Linked DNA regions of Tribolium castaneum. Each later gene encodes a partner of the first gene's protein in a complex. Links are inferred from orthologs where the notes say so. Each region holds a gene or a part of one and is shown on either strand. Other genes may lie near its edges.

What was found.
Region 2: Taf3 (region 1) and transcription initiation factor TFIID subunit 8 share a complex: the UniProt entries of both Homo sapiens proteins name them as parts of the TFIID basal transcription factor complex. The link is inferred for Tribolium castaneum from reciprocal best matches to the Homo sapiens genes TAF3 and TAF8.

The regions. Positions count from the first base shown.
Region 1 is NC_087403.1:4,011,353-4,018,799, reverse strand, and holds the start of Taf3 (transcription initiation factor TFIID subunit 3), read right to left. Parts: upstream 4,665-7,447; 5' UTR 4,461-4,664; coding exon 4,295-4,460; intron 4,249-4,294; coding exon 4,006-4,248; intron 3,265-4,005; coding exon 3,141-3,264; intron 3,102-3,140; coding exon 2,222-3,101; intron 2,173-2,221; coding exon 1,995-2,172; intron 1,898-1,994; coding exon 1,408-1,897; intron 1,362-1,407; coding exon 1,201-1,361; intron 915-1,200; coding exon 757-914; intron 498-756; coding exon of another isoform or gene 364-497; intron 156-363; coding exon 55-155; intron 5-54; coding exon 1-4. Other genes in the region: SLIT-ROBO Rho GTPase-activating protein 1, read left to right, coding at 5,114-5,189. UniProt on the Homo sapiens protein: The TFIID basal transcription factor complex plays a major role in the initiation of RNA polymerase II (Pol II)-dependent transcription.
Region 2 is NC_087396.1:13,178,864-13,185,297, reverse strand, and holds transcription initiation factor TFIID subunit 8, read right to left. Parts: upstream 3,709-6,434; 5' UTR 3,614-3,708; coding exon 3,475-3,613; intron 3,427-3,474; coding exon 3,140-3,426; intron 3,090-3,139; coding exon 2,939-3,089; intron 2,805-2,938; coding exon 2,518-2,804; 3' UTR 2,490-2,517; downstream 1-2,489. Other genes in the region: angiotensin-converting enzyme, read left to right, coding at 1,348-1,801, 1,857-2,140, 2,189-2,489; tou (bromodomain adjacent to zinc finger domain protein 2B), read right to left, coding at 4,505-4,661, 4,716-5,024, 5,074-5,346. UniProt on the Homo sapiens protein: The TFIID basal transcription factor complex plays a major role in the initiation of RNA polymerase II (Pol II)-dependent transcription.

The DNA.
Region 1 (7,447 bases):
AACCCTACCGGCGATTCATTAATTTCGGCTGAAACTAAGTTATTTATTTATTACCAATGGTACCAGGCGTCGCATCCGTCGCAGCCAATCATCGGACTGCCGTCATCCTGGCTCCCACATCCGGGGCAAATCCACACCTCGTTCCCGTCGGCGTCCTTGAAGAGATTATTTCAAGTGAAACGTAAAAACCGACCCCGATTCACCAGCAAGTGGTGAATTGAAATCATGGAAAGCGCACAGACATTCACACAAAGCAGCGAAACAAGCGCTCAAATCTGACCATGTTGGTGAATGATGAATAAAATCGTGGGCACTCATAAGCCAGAACAGGTCCGCATATTGTCTGACACACACTGAACTTACTTTCTTGACGGGTGTTCGGCGTTTTTTAGGCTTAGAAGGTTTTGGTTTGATGGGATGGATTCTGGGCCTACCTGGTCCAGGACCAGTTCTAGCCGCTGGTGTGTTTGGCATTTCTTCCTGTGCTGTCTCTTCAGCTGTTCAAAACTCACAACTTAACGACTTTTAACAATATGTACAACGGTAGCACACTCAAACGAGATAACGCAAACCCATGCAGATCTACACAACCCCCCCACCACAAGCATGACACTATGAAGCAAATGAAATAAGCAAAGACAATGCATGATAAAATAAATGACAATGAGAGGAGACGGGGAGGAGAATGAAGATGATTCCTAGGTCAGATTTGATTTTCGAACGCCTGAGCTCTTCTTCGTTCCGCATAGTACTTACAATGTATCTGGAAGGAGGAGCTGGTGGTACTATTGGAACATCAACAATCTCTCTCCTAATTTCTTTTGTTCGTATTTTAGGAATGGGTTTTAGCATGGTTTTCTTCGTTTGGTTTACGAAATTATCAGAAGAGGAACTAGGATAACTGTCATTGAAAGCTGCAGAGCAAAAAAATAGTAAGGAGAGACCTCATCAGTAAGTTAAAATAAACTAAACAAAACAATAACAAAACTAATCACATGCTGAGTGGTACACTGTTTAACTGATGCAAGCCAAACTTAGTGTTTCAAAATCAAAAAACTAAACACTTCAAAGGTGGCACAACGCACACGCATACAAATAACAAAATGACCAAAACTAAGCCGTTAGTCCGAATTTGGCACTCAAATAATAATAACAAAACAAAGGAAAACAACGAGTGTGCTAATCTCAACACAAACTTGCCTGGCTGCACGGTCTTTGGCGGGTTTACAGGCTTAGGTTTAGGTGGTCCGCACACCAAAGCCGAGATTTTGGCCAAACCGGGCGACGTCTCCCGTTTCACCCTATCCTCGCTACTCGTAACCACATCCTCTTCCTCCTTCTTCACAATCGGCTTAATGTTCCTAACACAAAATAGAAACTTTACTGATTTTCATTCCCACAACTTACAATTTCCGGGTCTCCGACGGCTCCGGACTTGGCGACGGCGATTTCAGCTTGAGCGTGATTTTCACACCTGGAGAGTCGCCCTCTTTCAGCTCCTTCTCCTTATTGCGTTTCTCCTTCTTCTCTTTTTTGATTTTCTCCTTCTTCTCCTCCTTCAACTTCTTCTTTTCGGCCTTGTTTTTGATTTTATCCTTCTTGTTGCGTTTCTTGATCTTGTCTTTCTTTTCCTTTTTGTGTTCCTTGTTCTTCTTTTCCAACTTTGACGATGGTGAGCCGGGATCAGAAGTGTCGTTAGAAAGCGGTTTCTCCCCTAGTTTGCCAGGGGGAGATGGGGAATCTTCCACCACGTGAACATCTGACGGCGGCGGCGGTTCGATTTTCTGGTGGAATGAAGACAAATGTGGTTTTTGCCCAAAATTGTACAAATTCATGGGCGGAAACGGCAGTGGGGGGATCAGTGGGTTCGCCAAAGGCGTTGGTATCAATCCCGGACCTAGAATTGAAAAGCAAAACTAGGATAAAGAAAAAACCGTTCACTATTTTCGGAAACGAAAAAAAAAATATCATAGAATCGTAACACGCGAATTTACCTCCAAAGTTGAAGGGGAAGGGGATGGGGGCCAGGGGCGCGTGGTTGGGGATGGGAACGGGCACAGTTGGCGGAAACTCCATTTTGGGTAACACTTGGGCTTCCGGTGTTTTGGGCCGCTCCATGTCCATGTCCATCGTATCGTTGTCTAGCCGATGCGGACTTTGGTTTTTCTGAATCTGAAAAACAACCTTAGTGGGAATACAAATTGTTGCGAAGCTCCGTTACTCTCTTTATCTTCTTGCTGTCTTTCCGCTTGCGTTTTTCCTTGACTATTGGCGGGCTGTGTGAGATCATTTCGGGGGTTTTGGGGGTTGAGGGAGTCCCCGGTTGGGAGTCATCGTCAAAGTAGGGCGTGTCCATCTTTTCTGGGCTTTTCTGGGCCGAGGAATTGATGGGTTCGATGGTCACGTCGCTTGATAAGTGGGTGAATTTGGGGAGGACTTCGTCCGGTTCGTCGATTATCAAGTCGGGGGAGCTTTCCCTCGATTCTTGTTTAATATCGTCTTTTTTTATTTTAACGTCGGTTTTTTCGTTCTTCACGTTTGATATTTTCTTAAATATGTTGACTTTTTTCTTGTCGGGCTCCGTGAAGAGTTTGTCGACGTTGTCGTGCTCAGGTGGGAAGACTTGGGGGCTGTTGGGCCGCATGGGAATGGGGGTGATCGTAGTGTTGAGTTTCTCCGTTTTAAGCCGGGCTGCAGCCAAGGTTTTGCTGATCTTAGCGGCTTGGTTTGCTTTGTTCTGCAGCTGGGAGATGTCGTGTGCCAGGGGGTTGAGGACCTTGTTGGGCGCTTTCTGTTGTTGCTTCGATTTCAGTATACACTTCATTGAGTTGATTCTGTTTTTGCCCGCTAGAGCCGGGTCCGTGTTTCCTTCCTGCTTGAATTTCTTTTTCTCAACTTTTTTGACGACTTTCGTCGGTTTTTTATTCAGATCGATGGTTTCCTGGGGTGGGTTTACGGGACCCATTGGGTCTATGGACGAAATTGGGGTTCTGGATTCAGGTAATTTGCCTTCTCGCGCTGGGGATAGAAACCCAGAAGTTGTCATCATCACACTGCTTATTTCTCTTGTCGGCCGACTGCCTTCTTCTTCTCTGCGGAAACTAAGACAGCCTTATTGTGAATTTGGAAATAGATAATACCTAGGCCGTTTGAACTCTGAAGGTGATATGTCGGCCGGTTTTTTAAAAACTTGGGAATTTTCAGGGTTGGTGTCTTCCAGTTCCTCAACTTTACAATTGATCGCTTCTAATTCATTTCTATTACCTATAATAATAATAATAATTATTAATTGTTCACTATTAGAGACGTTAACTGTTTTTTAAAATGGCTGCATTTAAAAAAAAATTCCGGTGTATATGCAGGTGTCCCAATATTAAAAAAACACTAAAGTTATGTTTTTTCAAATGGCACACCCTAAATTTTATTGCATTTTTGGACGTAGCTTTTAATACTGATGATTTTGTTCTAAACTTGTACTGGTCGATTTTGCTGAAATAATTTGATTTTTTTGACAAAAACACGCGAAGTAGGAATTTCACCACTTTAAAGGAAAAAGTTTATATGTTTATTTGTACCAATTGTTTTGCGCACTGCAATTAGAAAAGTAGAGAAATTAATAAGTTTGTTAAAAGTTGAATAACTTGAAAAAGTTAATGGAACGCCCTATTTTTTGCTGTTGCTTCTGAAAGATTATTAAATAGTCTATCTAAAAAAACAAGTTTTAAATTTCTGATAATACTAAATAATAATAAAAAAAGAATTGGCCCTAAAATAGACCCCTGTGGCACACCTTTATTTGTAATGGTAGGACTAGAAATACGATTATTTATTGTAACTACGCTATTCAAAATAAAGAAAATGTGAATGTGATTTGAATATCTATTGGTCTATAGCACTCATTTTCTTGTAGACTGGTATGATCTTTTTGGTATAATAGCTTAAATTGTAGACATTTCCGATGGCAAATGTATTATTTAAGGTACAAATATTAAAAAAGCGTTATACCTTCTAAAAGTGGGTTCATGGGGGGTAGGTGTTCATGTATGTGGACCGGTCTGGTGACCACCTCCTTGCTGCCTGGTTTTAGAAAATTCAAATGGTCTTCCTTGGGTATGGGGTACTTGGGGACAGCGCTTGGCGCCGCAGCAAAATTAACATATCTCACGTACTCCTCCAGCTCCGGGACGCTGATCCCCATGTCCCTAAAGGTCAGACCCAAGTGGTCCAAGTTCGGTTGGGTGCACCCAACTGAAATCCACACATTAGCATTGCCCCTAAGTTCCAAATTGCGTACATTCGTTTGCGTAGCTGTTTGTGTTCCTGGTAATCTGGCCCATGTAATTCCCTAAAATGTCGGTTAAAATCTCCAACGGTGTTGAATTTATCGAGTTCCATCCTAGCGTTTGTAAAATTTTCGCTACAGATATCTTAAGGTGGTCTCGTGTGTAATTACGAGACATTTTGCCGATTTATTTGACTACACAAGCTCTATAAAAGGGTGCACCAACACCTAATACAAATAAACTTCCATTTTGTATCAACACCCGTGACCTTGACAGACGGCAGACATCAGACATGCTTTTAATGCTTAAAAACGCCAAACTATATTCAGAATAGCGATAAATACGCAGGAGAGACGATCTGTTAACCCAACCGAACCGATAATTTTTTATTTGGTTGCGCACAGTGGGTTGCAAACGGTACTAACCGCTTAACCGCTGGCGTCCATGTTTGTGGGCGGTTTGGGCATTACAAGTGGGCAGTGTAGAGGCGGGTCCAAAGATGGCGCTGGTCGCTGGTGTGTTTACAAGCGACAGCGGCATTCTATTTTGAGTAGAGAGTAGCATGTTATGTTCAAATAGACAGTGTACAAATCGTTTTGTTCGTGGTAGCGTTCGCAACAACACTCAGTAACGAATTAACGTATTCGAATTAGTGCACACCGATTTGAAATGGCAACATTGTCTCAAATGACCACTTCTCATTAAATGTTTTTCCGAGTTAGCAACAAAACATAACTTGCGTTTGGACGTGAAAGTAGTTATTTTTGTGTGAAGACGGTTTTAGAATTCGCCAGTTTGTTTCTTATATACCGGCTACTTATTTTGTAAGGATGGATGAAAATGAGCAAGAATTGAAATCACCAATCAAACGGCTGGGATCCACGAGAAAACTTTTGGTTTTTAACAGTGAGTACACCTGTCTAGTTATCACCGAATATTTAACGCGTCTAAAGGTGGAACGGAGTTACTTATTTTTGTAATATTTAAATTTCTGTAAAAGTCGTTACCCAAGGTCACGGTATTGCAACAATAACCTTTTACCTGCAGCCGTTACTATTCAGTCTCCGGTTTGCGTCAATAAATATCATATTTTTTATCATTAAATCAATCCAAATAAAACAATCGAATTTTAATTAACAATGTAATTAAGCCACTTTAGCAGAATCCTGATTCCTGGCGTAAACAATAATTCTCTATAAACAGGATATTACTATTAAATCAATAATATTTATTAATAGTTTTGCAAAACAGGCGTATTTTCGATTTCCGAATTCCGCCCAAGGCCACTCTGGATTCTTATCAAGTTATACCTGAGGCGGTAAAAGACAAGAAAATCCAACTAATTATCAAAGTTAATGTCACAAGCGAAAATTATGCAAGATGTCGTAAATTCAGCCTGAACTTGAACTTGTAAACAACAGTTAGCAAGATAAGCGAATTAACAAAGGTGTTAAATAGCCCCGAACTGTCAGGCATCCAGTCGAAAATAATCGACAGCGGCGAAAAAGCCATAAAAAATTTATAGTATTATAAATGTGAGCGTCCCATCTCGCCTGCTTCATGTGTGATATTTTAATAATCGGGTTCAATGTTGTATATTTTATGACGGTTATAACCGGTAATAATAACGTCCTTTAGGTCAAATGTAGCGCCATGACGGCGCAGACTGATTGGTTGATTTGTGTCCGAATTAAGCTCAGACGTGACTTTTGAGGCAAATAGCGTAATAATCGCATCATACAAACGACTTCGTCTCGTGTCCGTCAGAAAAGAACGGCGCCGCTTTGGTGCGTCTGCACCACCAAACTAAAAATTTAACATACAGTGGGGTGGGCTTGATTGAAGGGAGGATTAGAGTAACGAGATTTTTTTAATTATTTTTTAATTATTTGCAAAGGGGAGACCGAATTGAAACCCAAATCAGCGGGTGCAGATTTAGCCAAATCCATTAAAAATCGATGTCCTTTAAGCGCAGTGGAAATATTTATTTAATACAGTGGAACGTCGTCTTAACTTTTACGTTAAATGAGTTTTAACGTTTTAAAGTTACCGGAAATAAAATATCATCTATTTTATTAAAAAATATTACATAATTACGTAGGTATACCTACTTTGATAATAGGGCACGTACAGGGTGTCCTACCGATGTGAAAAAGTCCTTTGACCTTTCATCGTTAGAAAATTAATCTTTTTATTACGAAACGCCGTGAAATTAAAACAACCTATATTTTTTTAACTGATGTTTTTAAGCTAGATTGTTATAGTCGATTTTGAAATAGTTTGATTTTTTGACGAAAACACGCTTTTTGAAAAAAATATTACATAAAAACTAAGAATCTCAGACGAGTAGGAATTTCACCACTTTAAAGGGAAAAGTTTAAACTTATATTTGTACTAATTGTCTTGCGCATTGCAATTAAAAAAGTAGAGAAATTAATAAGTTTGTTAAAAATTGAATAACTTGAAAAAGTTAATGGAACACCCTATTTTTTGCTATTGCTCCTTAAAGATTATTAAATTGTCTATCTAAAAAATCAGGTTTTAAATTTCTGATTATAAAATTGTTACAGATGAAGGTAAACTATTAATAATATGAAAAGAATTGGTCCTAAAATAGACCCGTGTGGCACACCTACATTTGTAATAGTAGGATTAGAAATACGATTATTTATTGTAACTACGTTACAAAGTACAAACTATACAAAGTATAGTTTTTTAATATTTACTTTGTTCGTTAAAAGCCGGGTTCGTTGTGACCGAGTTCCACTGTAAAATGCACTTTGAAACGGTCTTGCACCTGCTAGGTTTTTCGAATAATTTTTGCGTGTCATTGAAAAGATTCAGCGAAACGTACAAGTAAGTTGACCATGACTACAATTACCAATTGTCATTAATAAACTTAGCCCACGATCAAGCGATGAAAATAATTTAAAAACAGTAAAATTTGTTTGCCACACCGTTGTATAAATATTGTCTTTGTTGTGAAATAAATAATTGTGAGTAAAATTGCGACAGTTCGCTGCTTCGGTAAATTTACTTAACGTTGAAAATTTGAGGTTGAAAAATGAAGCAAAAATTCCGTCATTATTGTCGCAACTCTGCTAATATTTATATTTTTGTTTTGTGTCCTTCACAACACCATTGATATTTCGTGTCGTTAATTA
Region 2 (6,434 bases), on another chromosome or scaffold:
CAATCCTTTGAAATTCATCAGAGCTTCCTAAGCTGATGGCAAAATTTAACTTTTTAAATATGTCTTAATAATAATAGTAATAATAAATAATAATAATAATACAGGATAGCCCACCAAAAACGACAGGTTATCTGGTATTTATACTAATATATTAAAAAAATACTCGGACAGGTTAATTTCTATTTTAAGAGGACATCTTTTAACGTCAAATAGCGAATTTTAACTTCAAAAAAGGGGGTAGATTTGATAAAAAAAATGGTGGTGCCGTATAGTTTTGCTTTTTTAAACACCTTCGAAAACAAGGTCAAAATGCTTAAAAAGTGTTGTGTGTTGAAGGGACTAATACAGGCTGTCTCAAAATTGACGCCTGTGCTTTGGGAATTTGATTCAGGGAGCTAACACAAATGAAAGTTAAGAGTAAAAAATTTTCCAATTGTCCTTCGTTATCGAGTTATTGATAAAAATGTAAATAATAATAAGGTTTATGCTGTCTTTCCAATTATTTGTGCAACATAATTCATTAGTTTATGTTAACGATGTTAAAATTCTTTGAATCGCTCTGTCTAGTGACAAGTATTATTAATTTTCTTCGGTTTTGTGTGTTTAAAACATGGAGGTAAGATAAAGAAGACACAGCATCACATCACTTATACTGCAGCGTGTTAATCGATTAACGATTGGCGAGGGGTACGCGGGGGGGCAGTGTTTACCTCCATTGTAAGCGATATTAACAAGGCAGTGGCACATATTTAAATAGCAGTCAGGGGTTCATAGGCTGTATTAGGGGAAAACATTGTAAAGACGCTCTTTAACAAAGATCGATAATGGTAACAAAATAAACAATTACCTAACAAACTGTAGATTATGCCACTTTTGAAAAAAACGATTCATTTGTCTAATTGAACATCCCTTTAGAAAATTAATTGTCACGCCACTGACCACAGGTGGAATGTTAGATTCACACATATGCCATATTGGCCGCCATGACTGATCCAGCTAGGTCAAATTTGAGCTCAATTAAAATGCTAAGTTACCTGTTTTTGCATTTTTCATATTTTTTTAAATAAAAGAATTACGAATTTTATGCGTTACTTTAATCTCACTCTGTATATCAATTATATATGGCAGTAATATACCAACAAGTAAACAAAAGGATACAATACTACTGCATTACAACATTCGAGATTTTTCGATATGTTAAAAGCTCGGTTATAAATTAGGTGTGTGCACATGCGGAAAAAATTCCAAATCGCATATTAAAGCACGGGCGTCAATTTTGAGACAGCCTGTATTGGAATGTAGTATTAGCGGGTGTTTGAAAGTTTTAATTAACAAAACCGTTTTCAGAATGTTTCAGATGGCCGAAGAGTTCTACACATCTCTCGGCCTCAAGCCCATGCCCCCTGAATTTTGGCGTTTCTCAATGTTCGAAAAACCAAACGACCGCAAAGTACAATGCACGGCAAGTGCGTGGGACTTTTGTAACCAAATTGATTACAGAATAAAACAATGTACTGAAGTAAACATGGACGATCTAATTTCAACACACCACGAAATGGCCCACATTCAGTACTACCTGCACTACAGCGAACAGCCCTATCTGTACCGAGACGGGGCCAACCCTGGCTTCCACGAAGGAGTCTCGAACGCAATCTCTCTATCAGTCTTCAACCCGGTGCACTTGCACCGAGTCGGCTTATTCAACGAAAACACCGACAGTTACGAAACCAACATCAACTTTTTGATGCTGATGGCTTTGAAAAAAGTCGCGTTTGCCCCGTTTGCGTATTTAGTGGACGCAGTAAGTGCCAATTTTCCCTTTCACAGTTAAATAATTAAAAAAATAATTGTTCCAGTGGCGTTATGAAATTTTTCAAAACGGGGTGCAAAACATGAACGCAGTTTGGTGGGAATTGCGCCTGCGCTACCAGGGATTAATCCCCCCAATCCCTCGCACTGAAAACCACTTCGACGCCGCTGCAAAACGCCACATTCCCGCCGATATTCCGTACATGAAATATTACGTCGCGCTTTTGCTCGAATTCCAAATTCACAGCTCGATGTGTTTTGCTTCAGGGCATGTGGGGCCGTTGCATAATTGCGATATTTACCGGTCGAGGGAAGCCGGACGCGTTTTATCGTAATGACTGTTCAATACTTGTAATAAAAATTAATTAGATATTTTTAGGGACTTGCTAAAAGTCGGGAAGGCCAGACATTGGAAAGAAGTGATAAAAATGTTAACTAGAGGACAGTCGGATCGCCTGTCTGCTGAAGCAATGCTTCAGTACTTCCAGCCCTTGATGTTGTGGCTCAAAGTACAAAATCGGAATGAAAGTGTGGTCGGATGGATGACAAGTTTGGAAGAGGAGGCTTTGTTCCAGCCATTCTTGTTTGCAACAAGCAACAAAATTGTGTTTGATTCAAATCTTGTTATATTCATTTCTATAACTCCGATTCTTATAAATAACTACATGTTGTATAAATAAAAAATTTAAACTTATAATTTAGTCTTACTTATGACACCTCCATTTCGTCCTTTTTAGGCAGCTTCGTTGCGGCCAAATACGGATTATCAATGTACCCATTTGGGTTTGTGTTTTCTTCACTTTTTGTGGAATCATTTAGTGTTTCTTCAGTCTCTTCTTCTTCTTTATTTTCAGCTTTTTCTTTCGCTTTTTGTTCTTTTGATTGTTGCATCATTTGACTTTTGTGGTCATATTCGAGGTCTTCAGGATCAAAAATTTGATCCTGGGGCAGGAGAGCGCTCAAGTAAGGGGGGTACGCAGGCTTACAAGCTATCACTAAAATATTTCAATTGCTATAGTGGGTATAAAACAAAAACGTAGTCAAGAGTGCTCTGCAACCAATTTTTTCCAGAGCACTATTGACCACCACTCACGAAATAAAAATTCCAAATAAAAAACGGACCACTTACGTGGAAAAATATTCGCCTCATCTGTGTCAAACAAATTATGTGTGGGGTTAGTCTTGGCAAGAAACTTCGTTAACGCCTTTTCTATGTCTTTTTTCTGAACTGCCGCTTTTTCTCTCACTGATTCGTAATCAATAATTGGTTGTTTGTGTGTCTGTAATAGAACAATAAAATATTTGACGCGCCCCAACAGCACAAACCTACAGGAGTGCGAACGTAGGCGTGGGGGTCCGGAAACTGGGGTAAATGCTGAGGGATGTAAGGGGGTAAAGGGTGCTTCGAGCCAGCTGGTAACATATTTAGCTGCTTCTGGGGCTGCTGTGGTTGTAGTGGGGGTAAAACCGAATGCTTCATGCCTTTTGTGTACACCATCAAGTCGTTGAAATTGTGCCCCATTTCCACAAATGCTAAAATCACGTCGGCCACCACGGGCTCCGAACGGCCCGACAACTCGCAGTAGCTTTTCGAAAGTGCCCCCACTTCGGTTAGGACTGCAAGAAAGTGTGCTTATTTCGCGAAAAAAGGGTTGAGGGGCTTACAGCACTGGATCATTTCTGTTAAAGTACCGAGGCTTTCTTTGTCGGCCGTATCGAAACCAGACTCCATTAGAATGCTGCAGACTGACGCTGCTAACATTTTTCGGTAAACGTTTACTTGCTGGGTGGTGGTTTGTTCCATTTTTTAAAGTTTAAAGCAAAGTTTGTTGTTATTTACGTTCCGAAAAGTTAAGGTTATAATAACGTTTGACAAATGACAAGCTTGTGTTTCTGACCGAATCACCAAAGAGCCGAAATTTAAACATCCATACGCGGGAATTCCAAAAATTTCCAACGTGTGGTTGGAAAACAGGGTAGTAGCGGTTGGAGAGAAATGAAAAAAGGCGACATTTATAAGTAAATATAATTAATATAAATATCTTACATTAAAATACATAACCTAGTTCTATGAGTTGCAGTTTAGCGCTGCAGAGAACTAGCCTACCAAACACATTATTTATTAATACATCCTTTCCTTTGAGAACTATGTTCAGCTTACATAAAAACATTTTGTAATAGGCTAGAGAGACATTTAATTTAATGTTGAGCGATGCAATTATGTGAAGAAATTTCTTTACATTTTATACAAACTCTTACTCTAATTTATTCACTGTAACTGAACCAGACTTCAAGTCGGGAAACTGAAATTGAGTTAGAAAAATAAATAAATAGAAACCACTGAACATTTAATGAACAAAATAGTTATCCTAAATAAATAATTAAATAAAAAAATACACAATTATCAAAAATACAAATTAATACAAATTGAGAAACCAACTAAAAATCACATTCTTGTTTAAGTCAATTCATTAAGTGATGCGCAAATCCAAGACTTTAATTGCATTCAAATAATTACAATTTCCGAACGATAAAAAGCTGAAGTATACATTTTTAAAGTCAATATCACACACTGGAAATACCTGTACTGTTTTTCTGAAAAAATTAGTTTGTATTCACACCTCATCGCAATTTAAACACTGTTTTCCGGGGGCCGCATTCTTCGATGGTAAGGTCTTTTGGGATAAAGTAGTCCTCAACTATTTGAAATACTCAGCTCGTTCCACCGAGCTTCGAAAAACTGGCGCATGCAGTGGCCTGCCTTTCCCACAGGACTGTCGTCCTCGTTGAACACTTCGCAGTTGTTGAAAATCTGTCTCACGTCCAGAACGAACTCCTCTTTGGATTTATAACTAGAAAAACGCCCAAATAACTCACACCATCAATTTTCAAGTCAAAACACCAACCTCACATCGTACAGTTTCTTCTTGATCGTCGACAAATCCATCGGCGTTTTGATGATTTTTTTGTAAGTGGGAAACTGCTTCGTATTCACCGGAAGCAAAAAGGGCCACGCGTCATCATGGCACTCCAAATCCTCCAGAATCGTCTTGCACGGCGCGAGTTCTTTGAGTAGTTTCTTCGAGATGCGGTCCTTCTTGCACGTTTGCGTGGACGGAGAGCCTGCGTTGCCGAGACTCGAGTTAGAGACGTCGCTTTGGTTGCAATTCGTTGCTTCTTCGTTCGTCGTAACGGAACTATGAGACGGTGCGGGACTGGAGACGCGACATGTTAATAAATAAAAAACGAAAAATTGAGAGGTACCTAGAAGGAGGATGGTCGGACAGTTCGCTATCTTTGCTAGACTTTGCGTGGTTTTTACGCATCGTCTTCTTCTGAGGCTTTTTCGATATGCATTTGGAACAGTACCATTTGCCGCGAGGAACTTTGTGCATGATGGGGTGAATGCAGTCGGTGTGGTAGGCGCGAGGACACAGTTCGCATAAAATCAGCCGAGTGCCAGACGTCGACGATTTCTTGCCGCAAACGATGCAATTGCGCTCGCCTGTCGCCTTGTTCATGCATTCGTGGCAATACCTACACAAATTAATTTTTCGTTCATTTACTTATTAAAAAAATATGCCTCTTCTAGTACCTACTCTATAATCGACTAGCAAATAGTCTCTTCAATAAAAATGGCCTTGTATATTTCGAATGTATGTGTGCGTGTCTTTTATAATCGCGAAGATTTCGGTAAAGTGTTAACATTTACGTTACACTTAAATAATGAGCTCAAAATATATGTAGACCTCAAAAATTCACCCCCCTGTATACGTGTATTAACTCTATCCAAAAAAGTTCAAAGGAACGCACCAAAAATCAATACATTAGGAAAACTTCGTTATTTATTTGCAGCAGTTAATTACATGAATGGATTATTTTTTGTTACAGACGAGTTATGACGTTATGAGCATTCTTATCAATTACTGATGTGCCGTTTGATTTCATTCAGTTTGTCACTTGCTGTAGTCGTGAACACACACCTCATAAACTTATTAAATAAAATAAAAGTTAGAGTTTTGCTGGTTACGATTTTCAAAATATAGAACTATCATCAGTGATCAGTGCGTGTTATGAATTTTCGCCGTTCAGTAGTGCGCGAGTGTTTACTGTTTAGTGTGTGCCAGTGGAATATATTTCTGGAGAAAAATTGTGTTTGGAGGATCAGGATTAAAATGTTAGTCGGCAATAGTTTTCTTTAGAATAATTTCTAGTCAGTATTTTGACAGAGGTTGAGCATGATTTCAAATCTTTGCTGTAGCGTATTTAACTGTGAATATTCTTCGAAAAATGAAGATGATACATAAAACGATTTTCATTTTAGAATTGAGCGCACAAAATGCGTTTTATCAACTTTAAAACGGTTCAAATTAGTGAAAGAAAGCATGGGAGAGACTGAATGAAACAGAATTTGAGTGATCTTTTATCAATTAAATGTACACTTTTAGGCAAATAAAACTATAGTCGAATAGAAATACCATGAAATAAAACTGAAACGAAAATTTTCTCGGGTAAAGTCCACATCCTGAACGAAAATGAAAATTAACAATTGGGAGTGATTTTTATGAAAAATAAATAACTTTAAAAATTATTAAAAATTATAGCGCTGCAACACTTATGTGAGT